4 linked regions of the Arabidopsis thaliana genome follow. The protein of the gene in region 3 purifies or fractionates together with the protein of the main gene of each other region. This does not show direct contact. Each region holds a gene or a part of one and is shown on either strand. Other genes may lie near its edges. The genes, in order: AT1G72810, IMD2, iPGAM2 and IMD1.

The links.
Region 1: the proteins of iPGAM2 (region 3) and AT1G72810 fractionate together in Arabidopsis thaliana (co-fractionation; one large-scale study listed by BioGRID). This does not show direct contact.
Region 2: the proteins of iPGAM2 (region 3) and IMD2 fractionate together in Arabidopsis thaliana (co-fractionation; one large-scale study listed by BioGRID). This does not show direct contact.
Region 4: the proteins of iPGAM2 (region 3) and IMD1 fractionate together in Arabidopsis thaliana (co-fractionation; one large-scale study listed by BioGRID). This does not show direct contact.

The regions. Positions count from the first base shown.
Region 1 is NC_003070.9:27,397,232-27,402,505, reverse strand, and holds AT1G72810 (Pyridoxal-5'-phosphate-dependent enzyme family protein), read left to right. Parts: upstream 1-2,031; 5' UTR 2,032-2,112; coding exon 2,113-2,724; intron 2,725-2,807; coding exon 2,808-3,746; 3' UTR 3,747-4,232; downstream 4,233-5,274. Other genes in the region: AT1G72800 (RNA-binding (RRM/RBD/RNP motifs) family protein), read right to left, coding at 4,233-5,240. UniProt on the Arabidopsis thaliana protein: Catalyzes the gamma-elimination of phosphate from L-phosphohomoserine and the beta-addition of water to produce L-threonine.
Region 2 is NC_003070.9:30,285,996-30,290,910, forward strand, and holds IMD2 (isopropylmalate dehydrogenase 2), read left to right. Parts: upstream 1-1,767; 5' UTR 1,768-1,837; coding exon 1,838-2,054; intron 2,055-2,253; coding exon 2,254-2,383; intron 2,384-2,492; coding exon 2,493-2,604; intron 2,605-2,682; coding exon 2,683-2,758; intron 2,759-2,848; coding exon 2,849-2,937; intron 2,938-3,029; coding exon 3,030-3,116; intron 3,117-3,206; coding exon 3,207-3,323; intron 3,324-3,413; coding exon 3,414-3,521; intron 3,522-3,602; coding exon 3,603-3,656; intron 3,657-3,762; coding exon 3,763-3,915; intron 3,916-4,056; coding exon 4,057-4,131; 3' UTR 4,132-4,304; downstream 4,305-4,915. Other genes in the region: AT1G80550 (Pentatricopeptide repeat (PPR) superfamily protein), read right to left, coding at 1-709; AT1G80555 (Isocitrate/isopropylmalate dehydrogenase family protein), read left to right, coding at 1,011-1,221, 1,294-1,423, 1,498-1,744; AT1G80570 (RNI-like superfamily protein), read left to right, coding at 4,666-4,696, 4,825-4,915. UniProt on the Arabidopsis thaliana protein: Involved in leucine biosynthesis; catalyzes the oxidative decarboxylation step in leucine biosynthesis (primary metabolism). Catalyzes the oxidation of 3-carboxy-2-hydroxy-4-methylpentanoate (3-isopropylmalate, 3-IPM) to 3-carboxy-4-methyl-2-oxopentanoate.
Region 3 is NC_003074.8:2,607,727-2,613,484, forward strand, and holds iPGAM2 (Phosphoglycerate mutase, 2,3-bisphosphoglycerate-independent), read right to left. Parts: upstream 3,830-5,758; 5' UTR 3,604-3,829; exon of another isoform or gene 3,514-3,603; 5' UTR 3,512-3,513; coding exon 3,347-3,511; intron 3,252-3,346; coding exon 2,973-3,251; intron 2,890-2,972; coding exon 2,686-2,889; intron 2,595-2,685; coding exon 2,170-2,594; intron 1,868-2,169; coding exon 1,675-1,867; intron 1,596-1,674; coding exon 1,500-1,595; intron 1,411-1,499; coding exon 1,255-1,410; intron 1,122-1,254; coding exon 957-1,121; 3' UTR 582-956; downstream 1-581. Other genes in the region: AT3G08600 (transmembrane protein, putative (DUF1191)), read left to right, coding at 4,920-5,758.
Region 4 is NC_003076.8:4,574,128-4,579,106, forward strand, and holds IMD1 (isopropylmalate dehydrogenase 1), read left to right. Parts: upstream 1-1,995; 5' UTR 1,996-2,092; coding exon 2,093-2,321; intron 2,322-2,408; coding exon 2,409-2,538; intron 2,539-2,618; coding exon 2,619-2,730; intron 2,731-2,814; coding exon 2,815-2,979; intron 2,980-3,056; coding exon 3,057-3,143; intron 3,144-3,221; coding exon 3,222-3,338; coding exon of another isoform or gene 3,339-3,340; intron 3,341-3,427; coding exon 3,428-3,535; intron 3,536-3,616; coding exon 3,617-3,823; coding exon of another isoform or gene 3,824-3,835; exon of another isoform or gene 3,836-3,909; coding exon 3,910-3,984; 3' UTR 3,985-4,275; downstream 4,276-4,979. Other genes in the region: MPL1 (Myzus persicae-induced lipase 1), read right to left, coding at 86-286; AT5G14210 (Leucine-rich repeat protein kinase family protein), read right to left, coding at 4,376-4,600, 4,698-4,809, 4,887-4,912. UniProt on the Arabidopsis thaliana protein: Involved in both glucosinolate and leucine biosynthesis; catalyzes the oxidative decarboxylation step in both leucine biosynthesis (primary metabolism) and methionine chain elongation of glucosinolates (specialized metabolism).

The sequences.
Region 1 (5,274 bases), on a different chromosome or scaffold from region 3:
AATCAGATGCTGGCAGGTGACACGTGTCACTCATGACTAAGGTCTTAAACTCTTACGGATAAAGAAAGCGACAAACTGGGAGCACTCTTAGAAGACGAAGAAGATCGACGGCAGAGATAGAAAAAAGCTAAAAGGTCGTCATCGAAAACAACGGCTAAGATCTTGTTCTCGGATCAGACCCAACAGAGGAGAGAGAAAATGGATCCGCTTTTGTGATTTGGATAAGATGACGTGGCGTCCATATCCTTGGGTCGTTGGGCAGAGAAGAGAGCAGAAGGCAGTGTGAGAGGCACGTGATCTGTCACGTGATTTTTGATTCTTTTTCACTGTTACACTTCCACTATCGTTCGAGCTATATTTTTTTTTATGAAAAAAGAATCTAAAGATTTATCAGAGTTCCTCCTAGAGATGCTAAATTTATAGGAACAGTGGTGGTCCTTGGACAATAGTATGATACTACCAAACACCAACAGAAATCATTTTTCTGTCGTTGTATCATTTACTGACATAACTTGATTACAAAAATATAGTATTAATTAGCTTTGGGAGTTTCACATATTTTAGTATCAAATCAAATATACAACAGAAATCAATACTATAGTATTTGGAAATGCCCACTACCTAAACATATACTACATTTCTTTTTCGGTCCACGCTTACTTATTACATCGTTAATCCTTATCTTCAACAGATTAGATGTTAAAGTGAGTAGACAAGCTTAGACTGATTCCAACCATGTGATTTGATTCCAAAAAGAACATTATAGCTGTGATGGGCTTGAGTGACGAACAACACTGTTGGTTCTGTATCAACTGGTGATGACCATTATTTCAGCCCACAACTTGGAGATAAAAGAACCAAATCATAAGCAGTTTCCACAGACTAAAGCACCAACAAAAACTATGGAAAGCTTTTATCGAGCAAAAGATCACGAGTCACAAACATAACAAAAAAGTACACGAATCATGAAATCAAATTTCTCAAGTTCCCTATCAAAACGCTTTAAAATACAGAAAAGGGATCCCTTCTCATTTATTGTGTCGTTCTCTCCCAAACCCCAAAACACTATTACCCAAATTTAGAGAGAACACACAACGGTTAGTTGAGGTATTCAGAGTTTGAATCAATTCTAATTCAAGTCTTTTATTTGAAGTATAAGCTTATTGGGCTGGTTTTTCACAATGACTGTATATTTGACCCAATCCGCCCAATGTGACGAAAAGGAGGACCCATAACTAGTGGTGTCCTTTACTTTCTTTTTCTTTTCCAAAAACGTTAAGATCATAAACTCCATACCTATATACATTAATATGAACTATGAAGTGTCGTCTACTTTGTATGAATGTTGCTCTCATAGTCTCATCTCATTATTTATTTTTGTCCTTTAAAATGACAAAAAGATAGTGACATTTATTATTTATTTTTTGTTTCCGTCGCTTGTAATATATTTATTTGATTAATAAAATGGGACGAAATCACAAATATATATTAGAAGAACAAAGAACAATAGATACAAATAATAGTAACATTATATTTTACTCATAAGAATATACTTCATGTGTGGCACATGTCTCATGTAGTCCATACATTCGTGTTTTTTTTTGTTGTTGCATATTTGATATCTTAAACACTAAAATTTACACATGATTCATGAATGTCAAAGATTCATTTCTCCCTAGTGCTTCTTTCTCTACCATCAAAAGAAAATTCATGACTAATAATCCATACAAATAATAGTAACATTTTACTCATAAGAATATACTTCATGTGTGGCACATGTCTCATGTACTCCATACATACGTGTTTTTTTTTTTTTTTTGCATATTTGATATCTTAAACACTAAATTCACACTAGATTCATGAACGTCAAAGATTCATTTCTCCCTGGTGCTTTCTCTACCATCAAAAGAAAATTCATGACTAGAGAGATATATACATAATTTGGAAATTGGAATGACAAATGAAAAACAAACAATAAATGAATACTTTCGTCCCAATATTTATTAGGTTATAAATAAATTACTTGTGACTTGTGACTAAAGGTGTCAACAATCATTCTTCTATCCAATCAATATCATCAAACTCTTCACTTTACTCTCTCTCTCACTCATAATGGCCTCATTCTCTCTTCCCCACTCCGCCACCTACTTTCCTTCCCACTCTGAAACCTCACTTAAACCTCACTCCGCCGCTTCCTTCACCGTCCGTTGCACCTCCGCCTCTCCCGCCGTTCCTCCACAGACTCCACAGAAACCCCGTCGTTCACCCGATGAGAACATTCGAGACGAAGCTCGTCGCCGTCCTCATCAACTCCAAAACCTCTCCGCACGTTACGTCCCTTTCAACGCTCCACCTTCTTCAACAGAATCCTACTCCCTCGACGAGATCGTCTACCGTTCACAATCCGGTGCTCTCCTCGACGTCCAGCATGATTTCGCCGCCTTGAAACGCTACGACGGAGAATTCTGGCGTAACCTTTTCGATTCTCGCGTCGGTAAAACAAATTGGCCGTACGGATCAGGCGTGTGGTCGAAGAAAGAGTGGGTACTCCCCGAGATCGACGATGACGACATCGTCTCTGCTTTTGAAGGAAACTCAAATCTCTTCTGGGCTGAGAGATTTGGTAAACAGTATCTGCAAATGAACGATCTTTGGGTGAAACATTGTGGAATCAGCCACACTGGCTCCTTTAAAGATCTGGGCATGAGTGTTCTCGTTTCTCAGGTGAATCATCTTTCATAAAGTTTACAACTGTATAACCATCTTCAATAAAGTTTACAACTTTATGTTATTTTTTTGTTTCTCAGGTGAATCGTCTCCGGAAAATGAACAAACCAGTCATCGGAGTTGGTTGCGCTTCTACTGGAGATACCTCCGCTGCTCTCTCTGCTTACTGTGCTTCCGCTGGAATCCCCTCGATTGTCTTCTTACCTGCGGATAAAATCTCCATGGCTCAGCTTGTGCAGCCGATTGCAAACGGAGCGTTTGTGCTTAGTATTGACACTGATTTTGACGGATGTATGCATTTGATCAGAGAAGTTACGGCGGAGCTTCCTATTTACTTGGCGAACTCTCTCAACAGCCTCCGTCTCGAAGGTCAAAAGACGGCGGCGATTGAGATTCTGCAGCAGTTTAATTGGCAAGTTCCTGATTGGGTCATTGTTCCTGGAGGCAATCTTGGTAACATCTATGCGTTTTACAAAGGGTTTCATATGTGTAAAGAGTTAGGTCTTGTTGATCGTATCCCTAGGCTTGTTTGTGCTCAAGCTGCTAATGCAAATCCACTTTACTTGCATTACAAATCTGGGTTTAAAGAAGATTTCAATCCATTGAAAGCAAACACTACATTTGCTTCTGCTATTCAGATTGGTGACCCTGTTTCGATTGATAGAGCTGTGTATGCGTTGAAGAAATCTAATGGGATTGTTGAGGAAGCTACAGAGGAAGAGTTGATGGATGCAACAGCTCTTGCTGATTCTACTGGTATGTTTATATGTCCACATACTGGTGTTGCATTGACGGCGTTGATGAAGCTGAGAAAGTCAGGAGTTATTGGAGCGAATGATCGGACTGTGGTGGTGAGTACAGCTCATGGATTGAAGTTTACACAAAGTAAGATTGATTATCATTCTAAGAACATAAAGGAGATGGCTTGTAGATTGGCGAATCCACCAGTGAAGGTTAAGGCAAAGTTTGGTTCAGTTATGGATGTTCTCAAGGAGTATTTGAAGAGCAATGATAAATAAGCTTTGTGTGTTTGTTTCTTCTAAAGCTCTTCACGTCCTATGATGATATTGTTGGCTTTGTTATTAGAGGAAGTAATGAAATTTCGTTTCTTTGGACTTGTGGAATAAAACGACTGGTTGGTTCCGTGATGCTCGCTAGTTGTTTCATATCAAACTACTACTGAGTTTTACATATGCTCTTAACAAAAGTACTCACGACCTGTCTTTTAACCTCTTCTTTTAAATCTTTTAAGAAACAATAAACTTATCTAGAAAATTAACTTCAAGAATTTTTTTCATCTTATTTAAAACCAAAAGAACTCAAAATTGAGTTAACATTAACATTGGGTCAAAAACTTAACTAGAACATAAGAAAAAACTCCCAAGTAATACAAATTTAAAACGTTCCTCTTCTTCTAGGTAGTCTTCTTACTTTAGGGAGTAAAACTAGGTGATCTAGTTCCACGAGCAGTCTCTTCCTTCATGCACTACCAAAGGTTCAAGCCTTCAACAGAAGGTACAACGGCCCTGATTACCACAACGGCCAGGAAAAGGCCAAGTACTTCCACTGCGAATCGGTTCAGCCTTACCAACTACAAGATCCCATCCTCCCACGTCATGTCTACCAAGTTCCAACGCCTTCTCTGCTCCTTCTTTCAGATCAATGTAAGCATATCCTAAGGAACCACCGGTTCCGTGGCTTGGGGGAACAAATACGCGTGTGATCTCCCCAAAAGAACTGAAATATTTACTCAATGCGCTCTTTATATCATCCACAGGAAGGGAAGCGTCAAATCCCGTAACAGAGAACGATCGACCATTGACACCAACAGAAAATAAAGAATCTTTAGCAGCTGGCTTGACACCAACAGAGAATAAAGAATCTGGCTTGAAACCAGCAGAGAATAAAGAATCTTTAGCAGCTGGCTCGAAACCAGCAGAGAATAAAGAACCTGGCTTGAAACCAGCAGAGAATAAAGAATCTTTAGCAGCTGGCTCGAAACCAGCAGAGAATAAAGAATCTGGCTTGAAACCAGCAGAGAATAAAGAATCTTTAGCAGCTGGCTTGAAACCAGCAGAGAATAAAGAATCTTTAGTAGCTGGCTTGGCGGCACTTGCAGCAGGTTTGTTTACAGGTTCCTCAGCAGAAGACGATTCATCCTCCGAAGAAGTGTCCATGTATGAGTCATCGCTCTCAGAAGAAGCCTTAGCAGAAGTCTTCATGGCAGGAACTTTCTCACCCTTGGCTGAGATGAGAAGCTCCTGTATATCCGCCTTTATTGCCAACAAATCCGCCTTTGTTACCAACAAATCCACCTTTGCTTCGAGACGCTGAAGACGATCAGCGAATTCTTTGATCATCTCCTTCTCATCAAGGTTTTTCAAGACGGATACTTTCGTGATCTCCGTCTGATCAGATTCTTCCTTCTCGGAAGGAGAAATCACGTCTTTGGCCTTAATCATAGCAGGAGCTGCTTCAACTGTGGTTGCGGATAACTTGCTAGACTCAGCCATGGAGAAGATGACAAGAAAAGAGAAAGAGCGATTT
Region 2 (4,915 bases), on a different chromosome or scaffold from region 3:
TCTTGCACATGATATCCATGTAAATGGAATACGAAAAAAGATCCTTAGTAACACCTTCAGTATCCATCTTCTTCCAATACTCCTTGCATTTACCCCACCATCCCAATTTCGACCACCCACGAAGAATCAGATTATGAATCTTAGTATTACTCACACTAAAACCATTACCAATGACATTCTTCCCAAAACAAAGCTCTTCAGCTTCAACCACATGTTTATGCTCGCAAAGCGCATCGACCAGATTATAAAATGATGTTTCATCTCTCAAATTGAAATCATCCAATTTATCATACGCATCAATAGCCTCCTGAACAAGATGAGCCGTCACATAACGCTTAAAGACTATACGAAACGTGACGTGATTCGGCACAGATTCCGTGTTTCCGATCATGCGGTTAATCAAAGCCCAAGAAATTTCAAACTCGAAATACTTACCCAGAATATCGATCACCCGATTGAATGTCTCGGTGGTATGTCTGAATCCGGATTCTCTCTCGACCCAGTTGAAAAACTCCAACGCCTTTTGCCAATCGTTGCTGTAACATGTGAGAGCTTCGCATACTGTTTTCTGATCGTAACTGGACTGATCTTCTTCTTCCTGAGATCGAAACTTCGCATCATCGACATTTGAAATAGGTTTTACTGACAGAAGCCGAACGGAGTAAGGGGAAGCAATCCGAACTCGATTGAGTCGCCGCAACAAGAGCATTCTCTTGTTTCCCCTCTCCGCTCCCTGTACACACGAAATTAGGGTTCATCATCTAACGGGCGAATTTTGACCCGAATACCCATTTTAAAATCTGACCCGAATACCATTTATGGGCCCAAAGCCCGCTGGACTTGTGTTAATATTTGGAACATTTGGGCCGATCTATCTTCTACGAATCTTTCTTAGGCCCATCATAATTGAGCCATCCAGAGGTGAAAATAAATAATCGAACGGTTAATATTGGTTTGATTATAAACACAAAAGTTCTTTCCAGGTCTCCTTGTAGTCTTTGTTGTAGTAAATGGCGGGAGTCATCCACGTCAGCAGTACCCAGATTCCGGTTGCGTTTATGTCCGCAACCAAACAGAGCTTTAGGAGAGCTTCTGTGATCAGATGTGCCGCCAACACTCCAAAGAAACGGTACACCATCGCGGTTCTTCCCGGCGATGGCGTCGGTAACGAAGTGATCCCAGTCGCTGTTGACGTTCTTTGTTTAGCTGGGTCTCTTGAAGGTTCCTTCTTTCTCATCCTGTTGCCTAATTTAATTTGATTTTCCCAACTGAAATCGTGTTTTTGGATATCAGGGATAGATTTTAGCTTCGAGGAGTTGCCTATAGGAGGTGTTGCTTTAGATCTTGTCGGAGTTCCACTGCCTAAGGAAACATTGATCAGGGCAAAGCAATCAGACGCTCTTCTTCTCGGAGCTGTTGGATGGTATGGTATTATTACCATAACTTTCGTTCATCTCAAGTTTGGATTCATCTAAAGTTTGGATTTTTGAATTGAAGGCCGAAATGGGATAACAATCCCAAGCATTTGAAGCCGATAACGGCCTTGTTGCAGCTTCGTGCGGCTCTTCAAGTATTTGATGAGCCCTCCTTCTTCTGTGAGGTGCTGCTAATAAATGGATATATATATATATATATATATATATATATATATGTTGTATGTGGTAATGTAAGGTGTCCATTTACAAAATTAAAAACTTTGGGGTCAATTCTGAAAATAAAACAATGTGCAAAAAAGGACCCATAAATGCAAAGAAGTAAAGTCTGAGTGTACTAGTAGTATCCATTTGACTTGCGGTTTCAAAATCCGAAAAAGACCAATCAATCCTTTCTCCCTGAAATGGCGGCGGCTCTGCAGACGAATATCCGGACGGTCAAGGTTCCGGCTACGTTCAGAGCTGTAAGTAAACAGTCATTGGCACCCTTTAGAGTAAGATGTGCTGTTGCTTCCCCTGGTAAAAAACGATACACCATCACTCTCCTTCCCGGAGACGGCATCGGTCCGGAGGTTGTCTCCATTGCCAAAAATGTGCTTCAGCAAGCTGGATCTTTGGAAGGTTCTCTCTCTCTCTCTTGTTCCCTTTCTTATTTAATTTAGTTGCTGTTTCATTTCAATTGGGGACTACTGTTTTCTGCTTGGAATTGAAAGATGTGAGCATTAGAAATTGGCGAGATTTTGAATGGGATTTACAATCGTGGGTTGGGCTCAAAGGCCACGGAGATTGCCTAATACATTGCGTCTGTGCTCTGTATCAGGAGTGGAATTTAACTTCCGTGAGATGCCCATTGGAGGAGCTGCTTTGGATTTGGTCGGAGTGCCCTTGCCGGAGGAGACTATCTCAGCTGCAAAAGAATCAGATGCAGTGCTTCTTGGAGCCATTGGAGGGTCTGTCTTCTCTCTTTTCCCACTAATCTTGTTGGCTCTTAATTATTGTTTTGGGAAATACAGTTTCTCATTTAGTCATTTTCTCATGTTGGTATAATAATAACTTAAGGTACAAATGGGATAACAATGAAAAACATCTGAGGCCTGAGAAGGGGTTACTTCAGATTCGTGCAGCTCTCAAAGTCTTTGCAAATCTGAGACCTGCTACAGTCCTCCCACAGGTGACCATCCTCAGAGATTTCTTGGTTGCCTGAACTTTGTTTCTTGTGTGAAACTCTAATTTTGTTGTTTTTATACAGTTAGTGGATGCTTCCACCTTAAAGAGAGAGGTAGCAGAAGGTGTTGATCTAATGGTTGTAAGGGAGCTTACAGGAGGTCAGTTTTATTACTTATTAAAAATTGATCGTAATTCTTGTCTTTCTCGTGTGACAATATCTTATAAAATGTCATGTCTCATGGTAACAGGTATTTACTTTGGAGAGCCAAGGGGCATAAAGACCAATGAAAATGGCGAGGAAGTTGGGTTTAATACTGAGGTTTATGCTGCTCACGAGGTACTCTATTGAAAATCTCAGATGCAGATTTCCGTGGACTGATTGTTAAGTACTAGGGTCAAATCTAATAAAGCATTTTGTATGTTCGTCAGATTGATAGAATTGCTCGTGTTGCCTTCGAGACTGCTCGGAAACGGCGTGGCAAGCTGTGTTCTGTTGACAAAGCTAATGTTTTGGAAGTGCGGTTGATAATTATGTTTTCTTTGACTTGTTTTCCTCTCTCTTGTTTCCTGTGGAACGAACATAACACTGAATTTTTTTATATGCAGGCCTCAATCTTATGGAGGAAACGAGTAACAGCATTAGCCTCTGAATATCCTGATGTTGAGCTGTCACATATGTATGTTGACAATGCCGCGATGCAGCTTGTTCGTGACCCAAAACAGGTACGTGTACTTTGTATTTGCCAAACTAGTCAGCTTTGATGTGCGACAGGTGTAAATCCTTGCAATTATTTGATTGTTTGATAAATGCAGTTTGACACCATCGTCACAAACAACATTTTTGGTGATATATTATCCGATGAAGCTTCAATGATCACAGGAAGCATAGGAATGCTGCCATCTGCTAGTCTCAGTGATTCGGTATGATATAAAATAATATGATCTTTTAGTATGCAAGCAGTATGATCTAGTCTGAACATAAACCCGCCATGTGTAATACAGGGACCTGGACTCTTTGAACCTATACATGGTTCTGCACCTGATATTGCTGGACAGGTTCTAACTCTATCCTTCAAACAAACACGGTTTTTGTTCCCTGATATCAAAACTAGTTTAATGCCAAAATCAAAGAGCACAACTTGTTGATTCTTTGAATTTTCAGGATAAGGCAAACCCATTGGCAACCATTCTAAGCGCTGCAATGCTTCTGAAATACGGACTTGGAGAAGAAAAGGCAGCCAAGAGAATTGAAGACGCAGTGTTGGTTGCTCTGAACAACGGATTCAGAACTGGAGACATATACTCCGCGGGAACAGTATGTTTCTTGAACCACTCTTATAACATGTTTCCTTTTCCTTAAAAACGTCCCGAGTTAGTGTTTGAGAAACGTTTAAACAAGCAGGCAACAACAAACAGTAGTAATATTTTTTTGTCTTTTTGTATGGGGTATGATCAGAAACTGGTGGGCTGCAAGGAGATGGGAGAGGAGGTTCTGAAGTCAGTGGACTCCCAAGTTCCAGCTTCTGTTTAATATTTGTAGAAACTTTGAAGAGTTCATTTCCAACAACAAATGTTGTACCTTGTACTCAAAGAGTCTCGGTTTTATTAGCGATTTTTATAATGTGAGATTATTAGAGGGACTTATTTGATCGAACTGAAACGTTGATGTTTTTTTCTGAGAAATAAATATCCTTGTGGAGATAATGACGTGTCAGAGTATCACTCAAAAAGCCAAAAATTAGAGAGACAAAAAAGATTCAATCTCCCCCGTAGTCCTTATCCGGCGCCGAGTGTGGTCAAACGTCGCAAGAGTTTTCGCTCTTTCCGGTGAGATCTTTTTCCTCTGATTTCTGTTTCATGGCAAGCCTACTTTTAGAGCTGAGTTTAATCGATGAATCAAGGATGTGAATTTTTGTTATTTCTTGATTATTCATTATTATGTTCAAGAAATCTAAATCTCTGCTTGGGAACTAATTCACAATTTAGACATCTCTGATGAGTTTTTCCTCTGTTTTTTATTTCTATCTTATCAATTTTGTTTCTGGAAATTTTCATGGCTTTTTGAATGTTCATTGGGATTGCGTATCTTGGTGGTGGTAAGTAAAAAGTCAAACGCCTTCGTTTTTCTGCATAATCTCTGAGTTCCATCAAAGCTCTGTTTTGTGTTTTCAAGGTGGACTTTTCACTTGACATGTTAGGCTTTGATCCTTTTTTGTTCACACAGATAGACAAATGGATGAATTGCCAGACCATTTGGTTTGGGACATTCTCAGTAAGCTTCATACTACCGATGACAGAAACTCGCTTTCACTCTC
Region 3 (5,758 bases):
TTTCTCTGTGGTGAAGAGGCGAGCTTTGAAAAGAGCGATTGTTTGCCCTTTTATCGTCTCGAAAAATAGGGTCACAGAGTCTCGGTCGTCACTCGCCAGTGGGGACGAGTTATTATCTGCTGCAAAAAAACTATTTGGGCCTTGCAATTTAATATCCGTTGGATCTTACTGATTTAACCCTAAGAACTTGTTAACCGTTGGTTATGTTTACTTTGTGAAAGAATTGTTATTCTTTCTGATGGTACGACTTTACTTGCTAACCGTTAGATCTTGCCCTAGGAATCTGGACCGTTATTTGGTAACGTTGAGGGCAAATAGTGAATGGACGGCTGGAAGGGTAGCGTGGAAAATTATTTTGTCGACCATACCGAACCAGATCAATTTGCAAATATCTTATGCCAAAATTATTATTATGAAAGGAAATAAATTGAAGTGTTCAATTTTATTTTAAATGCCAGATTTTTACAACTTTGTTTATTTTCTTCTATATGAATATGATATTTGTGAATATACAAAAAAAAAAAAAGTAATAATAAACTGATCTAGTATTTTTCACAAATAGTGATATTTTTCTAAATCAACTTGGTTACAAAGATAATTTTTCTATATGCTACGTTTCTTTTCAACTTTCTCTATTGTTCTCCCATGTGTTACGAATGTTCAGCAACTGCCCTTAAAGTCTCATACCTTTAACTTTACATGAAAGGTTTCTTTTATTTAATTCGTTTAGTTATTTGGAGAACATTTTTTAATGAAGTTATGTTTTGGCGAAATAGATAAATCAAATTTAGTCTGTGAATTGAACAACATCGTGAGAGGGCCGGCGAGTATACAGTATGGCTCCCAAAAAATCACGAGCCTTATTAGAGAGCGGTGAAAATAGTAACTTAAAAGAGAATCAGAGTCTATAGAGGCTCAGGTGGGACTTTTAAAAAGAACTACAACAACAAGAATCATCACTTCTCGACGACTTCGATCAGACTTGTCTCATAGTCACTCGGGGCCACAAATCCATGGAGGTTCATCACTGTCGCAGCTACATTTGCAAGCCCAGGTGTCTCGATATCCTGTCTAAACCTAACTCCTGCTGACAAGCCAGGACCTCCTATGGCAATTGGCACCTGCACACACACATCATGTCCAAATTTCATATAAGATACACCAACCACTTCTGGTATTACAACCCCTCATGCTTAATCTATGCTCAGTTGCAATGGTCATAACACGAACTGTTTTAGTAGTGCTAGAACTTACTGGTTTAAGGGTGTGAGAGGTAAGAATCTGAAGGTTCCCTTCCTTATCGAGAGCAGGCTTGCCGGATTTGTCCCTTTTAACCATGTCCTCAGCATTTCCGTGATCTGCAGTCACAACGTATATCCCTCCGACCTGTTCTATGGCATCAAGGATTGTCTGCAAACCAGGACACCAAAACTAAGTGAGTCATTGCTACTAAGAACGGTTTCTAACATTCCCATGTCACAAATTTATTGAAATCATACCCTCACAGCACGATCAGCAGCTTCACAGGCAACAACAGTTGCTTCAATATCACCAGTATGCCCCACCATATCTCCATTTGGCAGGTTTACACGCACCTGAAAATCCATTGGCACCAAACTCAGAAGCCAATTGTTTTAATGGGTTGATACAATGTGATAAGAGAATACACCTTACCTGGTCAAACTTGCCACTAAGGATAGCATCCCTTGCTTTCTCGGCAATTTCCAGTGCTTTCATCTTTGGCTGGACATTGAATGATATTCCACTATCACTTGGAATCTCAACGTACTCTTCTAACTTTTCATTGAAATATCCAGAGCGGTTGCCATTCCAGAAGAAGGTTACATGGCCAAACTTCACAGTCTCACTGTTTCAGTGAAATAAAATTTTAATAGGTTAATAGCTGAGAATTCATTCATTATATGTAACTAACCATCAACGGTATAATCTCATCAAGAAAAAGTGAGCTAGGAGATTTCACTAGTTTTAATCAACAAACAACCCCCAATCATAAATTAGACCTCTACCGAGCAAGTAAAGAAGACTGGATTACTCTTATCACAGTTTCAATTATGAATCCAATTCCAGCAAATAAATAAACCAGGAAGCAGCAATAGAAGAAAATGGCAAAGACAATAACTAAAGATTTGAGAGATTCTAAAAGTTAACCTGCAAGCAAAAGTACGAACGCCATTGTGTGCCAGATATTCACCAGAAGTTCTGTCAATCAATGGTGGAGAAACAAGATAGCGGCTAGGAAGCTTAAGCTCTCCATCATATTGGAGCATTCCTGCATAACGTATATCAGGGACACGTACGCGATCAAACTTGTCGAAATCTTTGTATTCGAGGGCCTTTGCATGCATGACCATTCGATCAGCACGGAAATTGAATGTAACAACTGCGTCACCATCAACAATTGGACCCACAGCCTTTCCATTATCATCAACAATAACAAACGAAGGCAAATACTGGTCATTGGCACCAGGTTCTGCCCTCAGTGTCTTAACTGCTTCAAGAGCGCTTTTAAATTTGTGGGGAGCTTCCCCAAGGACTTGTGCATCCCAACCTCGTTTAACAACACTCCAATCATTCTGCAAGGAAGGAAAGCAAAAATTGGATTCATTTCTAAACTAGACTAGACAAGGCATGACATTCATACAAGATCTCACAAGCATTGCCTACCTCATAACGGTCCATTGTGACATACATTCGACCTCCACCAGATGCAACCTGAGCATCAACACCTTTCGCACGTAAAGCAGCTAGGTCAGCTTCAAGAGTTTCAACAAATCCGACACTAGAACCATCCAAAACATCACGACCATCAGTAAGAATATGGACGCGGATTCTCTTAGCACCACGTTCTGCAAAACCCTTAAGCAGCAACTGCACCAAACAGAACCAAATTAAAGAAAATTAACAAACGCCAACGTTTCAAAAGAAATGTGTAACAGATGAGAATTAAGTACCTGGACTTGATCCAAACGAGAGTGAACTCCACCATCGCTTAGAAGACCAATAAGGTGCACAGTGCCTTTCTCAAAAGATTGAGAGATGTATTTGAAACCTTCATCTTCATAGATTTTCCCTGAAGCAAGGGCGAGATCAACAAGCTTAGCACCTTGAGCGTAAATTCGACCAGCTCCAAGAGCATTGTGGCCAACTTCACTGTTTCCCATGTCGTCTTCGCTGGGGAGACCAACGGCGGTACCATGAGCTTTGATCAACCTCCATGTGTCGGGCTTCCCCTGTGAAGAATAAAATCGAACCGTTGAAGTCCATAATCGGAATCCAGCGAAATCATCGAGGAAAGAAGTGGATATAAACAAAAAAGGAAACATACGTCTTTAAGGGAATCCATGGCAGGAGTTGGAGCTTTATGGATGCAATTGTATTGATCGGGATCAGATTCACCCCATCCATCGAGAACAATCAAACCGATAGTTTTGCCTTTGGGAAGCTTGGGGTGGTCCGCAAGTTTCCAGTTAACGTCGCCGGAGCTACCCATAACTGTGGATTCAGATCCACTCGTCGGTGAGAAATTAAAGGTTTAAGGAACAGATCTGAGAAGCGAGAGAGAGAGAGATAACGGAAGCTTACCAGCGGAGAAACAGAGGAAAGCTTCTCAAAGAGTCTTATGGAGATTCGCAGAGACAGAAGTGGTTATGTGGTGAAGTATGGTAGGTTGAGAGCTATCACTGACATAATATGAGACTTTTATAGAAACATAGAAATGGAAAAGTTAGCGATGACGTGGTACCAATTTAATGGGCTTTACTTTGGGCTCAAGTAAACATTGTGAAGCCCCCAAAAAAATGGAAGGAGACGAATGTTCTAGTTTTAGCTGCTATGAACGAATGTTCTGGATCATGCCGTTTGTAATAGTCATGGTGTGCGCCATGTAAAAAAAATTGTATATACCTTTTTATTTTGGTCAACGTAAAAAATAGCATACAGAAAAGGTCAAACCGGAGTTAACTTAATAGTTTATACGGTATTTGAACCAGAATTTGATCAAAAATGGGTAAGTTTTAGTAACTGGGATTACATTAATTTCTGTTGACAGTAACTTTTTTTTATCTAAATCATTATTTAAACCTTGAGATTGCATTAAATCAAACTGAAATTACACGAAAACCAAACCGAAAACTCATGTAAGAAATTCAGGGTTGTGCACATTTATTTATTCAATATCATCATAATATTAACTGGGAACCTTCAAAAGGTTGGTAGAAGGCTAAAAAACAATTTCTAATGGGCCAAAGACAAAAAGTTGAGTTCCTATATATTGGGCTTAAAAAGCCTGAAACTAGATGAGACGTGGTTCATAGTCAGATAAATGGGCCAAGGATAAGGAAAGACAAAAACAAAAGTAGAAAAGAATCATACAGTATACATATATGGGAAATATACAGAGAGAGATACAGATAACACAATAAGAGGTAGACGGACAACTGTTACGGCGAAATTGAATGCCGCAATGTATCAATATGATTGGTCGAAAAGGAAAGTAAAAAAAACAAACAAAATATTAAATTTTTGTTAATGTGTAAAGGGAGAAAAAATCAGATGAACAGGCTGTATCATTTTTTTTTTTGTGAACAAATGGGACTGACGACAACACTCTTCTTCTCCTTTTTGTCCTTTTGGCTCTCTCCTTCTCTCCTTTCTCTCTCTCTCTCTTTTCCACCGGCGACCATTCATTCTCTCTCCTCCTCCTCCTCCTCCTCCTCCTCAGCTTCCTCCATTGCTCCTTAACCCTCATTCCTCGATTTGTTCTTCTCTTCACCATTTCCCCTTTTTACCCTTTTTCTACTCAGACGTGACGGCGACTTTTTATTCCTGTGTCTCCCACCTTTGACTCGCCCTGGGGGGATTTTTTTTTGCTCCAGAGGCGAAAGAAACAAAAAAAAGCAATGGGGTTTCTCCGTTGTCTCCAGCTGCTGCTGCTTCTGTTTCTATCTCTTCGTCTACAAAAGCTCTCTGCTCAATCTTCTTCACCCAATGCTTCTTCTTCTTCTTCACTCGATGCTCTTCTTCAAGATTACTCTTTTAGAGCCTTGCTTCGTCCTCGTACCGGCATTCTCTACGAGGCTACTACTGTTCCTTCCAATTTGACTGGGATCAAACTCGCTGCTATGAGACTCAGAAGCGGAAGCTTTAGAAAACGTGGAGTCACTCCTTTTAATGAGTTCTCAATTCCCAGCGGCGTTATCGTCAAGCCGTATGTGACAAGGCTTGTTTTGGTTTATCAAAACCTAGCTAATTTCTCTCACTTGTATTACCCTTTGTCTGGTTATGATTATGTCGCTCCTGTCTTGGGTCTTCTCGCTTACGATGCTAAGAATCTCTCTGCGCTTAATTTGCCTCAGCTTGATTTAAGGGTGTCTAATGATCCTATCAGAATCGATTTCTCTGATCTGGAACGAATCCCGCAAGGGTCTAGTGCTAAGTGTGTTAGATTCGATTCTAAAGGTGAAGCGAGTTTCAGCGATTCGATTCAGCCTGGAAACACATGCGAGACTGAGCATCAGGGACATTTCTCTGTGGTGGTGAAATCTGTGGCTTCTGCTCCGAGTCTAGCTCCTCCTGGGATTGAGAGTAAGAAGAAGAAGAAGAGCTCTGATTCCAATTCCAAGACTTGGATCATTGTTGGGTCGGTGGTTGGTGGATTGATACTGTTGGGGCTTTTACTGTTTCTGGTTTTGAGATGTCGAAATTACAAGAAGCAAGAGAAAATGAGGGAGATGGAGAG
Region 4 (4,979 bases), on a different chromosome or scaffold from region 3:
TTAAAATAGCAGCTTTATCAGTTAATATATCGATGAGTAATCATCATCAATAGCTATATAGAAAAAAAAAGAATGTCGTACGTACATCATGTTCTTCGCACTTGTAACCAAATATGTGAACAGAAGAAGCGCATATGCCGCCGGCAGCAGTCCTCTGCGGTGGCTGTCCGGCAAGCCTGCCGAAGGTTCCACGAGCTTCAAGGGTCTTGAGGGAAAGAGCGAAGAAGATTAAGACAGATAAGGCTAAACCGATTGAAACGGACGGAACCATAACCGAACCGGCCATTGAGATATATATAGGGGTTATCACGTACGTTTATAGGAAAGTGAAAATGGTTTTATATAGAGAGAAGGGGTGACGGATAAGATAATAGAAAATGGAATTATTAGCTATTTATAAAAATGCAAAACCACGTTAGCAACTATGGATAGACAAAAACTTATTTAGAAAAAAAAACAATTTATGGTGTGTAAACATAAATTAAGAATTGAATCATGCACAAAAAATAAGACAAGCATTTATGAATAGTTTCTAGAAGTGGTGAATCATCCACTGCTATCGTCGATACAACATTTACTAAAGTTTCTATATATAAGTGGAGGGATGATCAGTGTGACCATGCCATGATTTCTAACTTTTTTGAGAGAGCGAGGTTATTATGATAAACATTTAAAATAATACGTGGAACTGAGATGAATGGAAAATAATCTTTATAAAAGAGAAAAAAAAAAATAGAAGATCTCATGATAATAAAAGTACTTCCATATGTTTTCAATGTGAAGAAAAGAATAGTAAAGGAGATACATCCAATAGCTTAGTCTAGAAAAGAGCTGACTAATTTTTTTTAAAAACAAGATCTCTGGTTTGTATATTTGTATCGATTACACAGCCTAGATATATAAAACACAAAACTTGATGGAGACAATTTCATATCCTATATATACACATTAATTTAATGAGTGAATAGTAATAGCAACTAGCAAGGCAATCTAAACAAAATTAAGAAAAGAAAAATGTTAAATTCCTGAGATCTATAATAACTCATAAGCAAAAAATATATTTAAAAAAATCATACAAATGTTGTAATAATATCATTTTGTTTTAATGTGGAGTGATAAAAAGAAGATAGGACGAAAGAAGAAACTGTTAAAGGCGATTGTAGATGCTGTAGGGACGGATAAATGGACTATGACATCAGTTTCCGTTACTTGTTTCTTCTCGAACTCAAAGAAGAAAGAAAAAAAAAAAAAAAATTCTACATCGGTACGCTTTCGTTTCACACCCTGCATGCACACAGTGTCCGGTAGTCAAAAATACAAAAAAAAGAAAAAAAACCTCGAGACATGCTAAATTTGGATAATGATTAATAATTTGGGGGTACACAATGTTCCAAATAATTTATATACAAAGTCTTGCTTTCATATTATTTGTGTGTCCACACTTCAACAATATAGTATTATACTATTATCCCTATCCCCTATGAAGTATGAACACACTTTTTATGATACGTATCATATTCAGAAAACATCAAAAATTGGTCATAACTCTCACGTGGTGTGGTGGATTTGCCTCGCCTTTCGTTTCTGTTTTTTGCAAATATTTAAGAATCTTTGGTCATTTAGGCTTTAATTTAGTTACTTTAAATTTATTTTTGTTATAGAAGTATTATGTTAAAAACAGTTCGTGTTCATCCTTGGACTAACCAGACGATTTGACAAAATCCGAATATCCGATCATAAAATTAAATAATCAGCCGTTATTGTTCCTCTACTACTACGTTTTAACTTTTAAGAACTTCTCCTGGTACTTTGATGGGCTATAAGAGCGGCCCAATATTTCGACTTTAAAATGGGCCAATCTTTGGTAAAGGCCCAATTATAGTGGCGCTTCTTCTTCTTCTTTTCCTAAACAAGCAATGGCATGGTTTAGCTGGTGAGCCAGTTTATAGGTAAAAAGGATAATTTAAGCCATTTAAAAAAACAAATCTTTAATGGCGTAATTCAAAAAACGTGCACACCTATCTAAGTACCAAACTCTTTATGTTATATAACTATTGTGACACAATTTCAAATTTGCTAACTCCCAAAAAAAATGGCGGCGTTTTTGCAAACGAACATCAGTCTGAATGCGATCAAGATCGTCCCGGGGAAATACAGTTCTCTCACCGATCATCAGTTTCGTGCGCCGTATCGAATTAGGTGCGCCGCCGCTTCACCTGGGAAAAAACGGTATAACATCGCTCTGCTTCCCGGAGACGGTATCGGTCCAGAAGTTATCTCTGTTGCTAAGAATGTGCTTCAGAAAGCTGGATCTCTCGAAGGTTCTTTCTCTTTCTCAATGGTTTTTGGAAACAACGAGTGTGTTTGCTTAGCCAGTAGATGATTGTGTCTTTGCTTTTGTATCACAGGACTGGAGTTTGATTTCAAGGAGATGCCTGTCGGAGGAGCAGCCTTGGATTTGGTTGGAGTTCCATTGCCGGAGGAAACTTTCACGGCTGCAAAACTATCTGATGCCATTCTTCTTGGAGCTATTGGAGGGTATGTGTGTGAGTGCTGTTTCTTTAGCAATCTGCTTCCAAATTTATTCTGATCTTGAGGTTTGGATGATTATTGTTCAGGTACAAATGGGACAAGAATGAGAAACATCTGAGACCTGAGATGGCTCTGTTTTACCTTAGAAGAGATCTCAAAGTCTTTGCTAATTTGAGACCTGCTACAGTTTTGCCACAGGTATCTTCGGTTTTGATTTGCTTAGCACTTGAATTTTGCTTCTAGTTGTAAATAAACTCAAATGTTTCTGTTTTGCTTGTTCAGCTAGTTGATGCTTCCACACTGAAGAAAGAAGTAGCAGAAGGTGTTGATATGATGATTGTTAGGGAGCTCACAGGAGGTATTTACTTTGGAGAGCCAAGAGGCATTACGATCAATGAAAATGGCGAAGAAGTCGGCGTTAGTACAGAGATCTACGCTGCTCACGAGGTAATAACCCTTCACACTGTGCTCTGTGACAATATTGGCAATGTATGGATATTAATGCATTGATTTATGTTCTTCAGATTGACAGAATTGCTCGTGTAGCATTCGAGACTGCTAGGAAAAGGCGTGGCAAACTTTGTTCTGTTGACAAAGCCAATGTGTTGGATGTACGTTCTGTTAGTTCACTGAATTGTTTTTCCACTTTTGTGTGTTTTACGAAATGCAAATTTCTTTGTTTCATGTAGGCATCAATATTGTGGAGGAAAAGAGTAACAGCTTTAGCCTCTGAATATCCAGATGTTGAACTATCACATATGTATGTCGATAATGCTGCAATGCAGCTTATTCGTGACCCGAAACAGGTGCTTCTCGCACATATATCAAACTTAGTCGTTGATTAAGCTAACTCAGAAGTGGAACTAGTACTCACGGTGTTTTTAAAACAATGCAGTTTGACACAATCGTTACCAATAACATTTTTGGTGATATATTGTCTGATGAAGCTTCAATGATCACTGGAAGCATTGGAATGCTTCCATCTGCTAGTCTCGGTGAATCGGTAAACAAAATTAACTAACATCTTTCAAGGCTCCTCCTGTTTATAAACTAATGCGAAATGTTAAACTTGTGATGAAATCAGGGACCTGGACTCTTTGAACCTATACATGGTTCAGCACCAGATATAGCTGGACAAGACAAGGCAAACCCATTGGCCACCATTCTCAGCGCGGCGATGCTTCTGAAGTATGGACTTGGAGAAGAAAAGGCTGCAAAGAGGATTGAAGACGCTGTCGTGGATGCTCTGAACAAAGGGTTCAGAACCGGAGACATCTACTCCCCTGGAAATGTATGTGCATGATGATTCTTATCATTTGTTTTGTACAAGTTCGTAACAAAATACTTAAAAAAGTCTTTTGTGTTTTGAAAATGCAGAAACTGGTGGGATGCAAGGAAATGGGTGAGGAGGTTCTCAAATCAGTGGAATCCAAAGTTCCAGCTACTGTTTAAGTTTATTGATGATTTGAAGCACTTGAAAAAGTTTGTGTAGCACTTGGTTTTACGGTCACTTATATGCTAATCCATGCAACATTGTACCTTTTATAATAAATAAATTATTTGGGATCGATTCTGCAATTCAAAGACAAGATTCTCCAAAAACATTTGACAGGTCTCCTGCCTTTACTTACCTTGTTCTTGAAGATTGAGAATTTCTCTTCAACTACAAGACTCAATATCTTCTTCAATCAATATTTGTTTAACGAAATAAGTTTCAAGAGAAGACAAGCTACTATGATTTTTAGTCTCAAGAGTCTTACATTTTTATACTGAAAACCAAACTTATAGAGCTTTACATTTAGAAAACCGAAAAAACTATCAATCATTAGGTTAGCCTTTGGATTCACGACGACGTATCAGATTTGCGTTCAGCGTCTGCGGCAGACTGCATTTGAGCTGCGTATTGTAAGTTCCAGAGAACATCTTCAAAGGAAGGTCTTGCGGAAGGTTCAAGCAAAACACATTTATTGGCGATTGAGATCGCAATCGATAAAGACTCCTGCGAGCTTGTTGTTAGGACTGTTGGACTTACTATTTTCTGCCGACCGTCTTGGCTCCCAAATGATGTCTGCAAACACAACATTGCAGCAACAGCTATTAACCAAATTTGTTTCAATCAAATAACAATGATGATGCTTTTTTTTTTTGCTTTTTCTCTTTGTTACCATTTCGTTGAGAAGAAAAGCCTCTCCTTTTGTAGTGGGCACTGGTCCTATCAGAGATTCCAGAAGTATGAATCCGAAGTTGTACACATCGTCCTCTCTTTTAGCCTTTTTCCTGCATAATCTCAAAGTTTGGATTAGATTCTCATAAATGCCATGGAGTTTTGCTATACAAGGACAAAAGATGCATACTTTGACTTGTGGGTTTCTGACTTTGTCTGCAAAATGTAGAAGCAGGAGTAAAGTAGAGTCCTGAGTTAGTGTCAAAGAAGATCATACAAAATG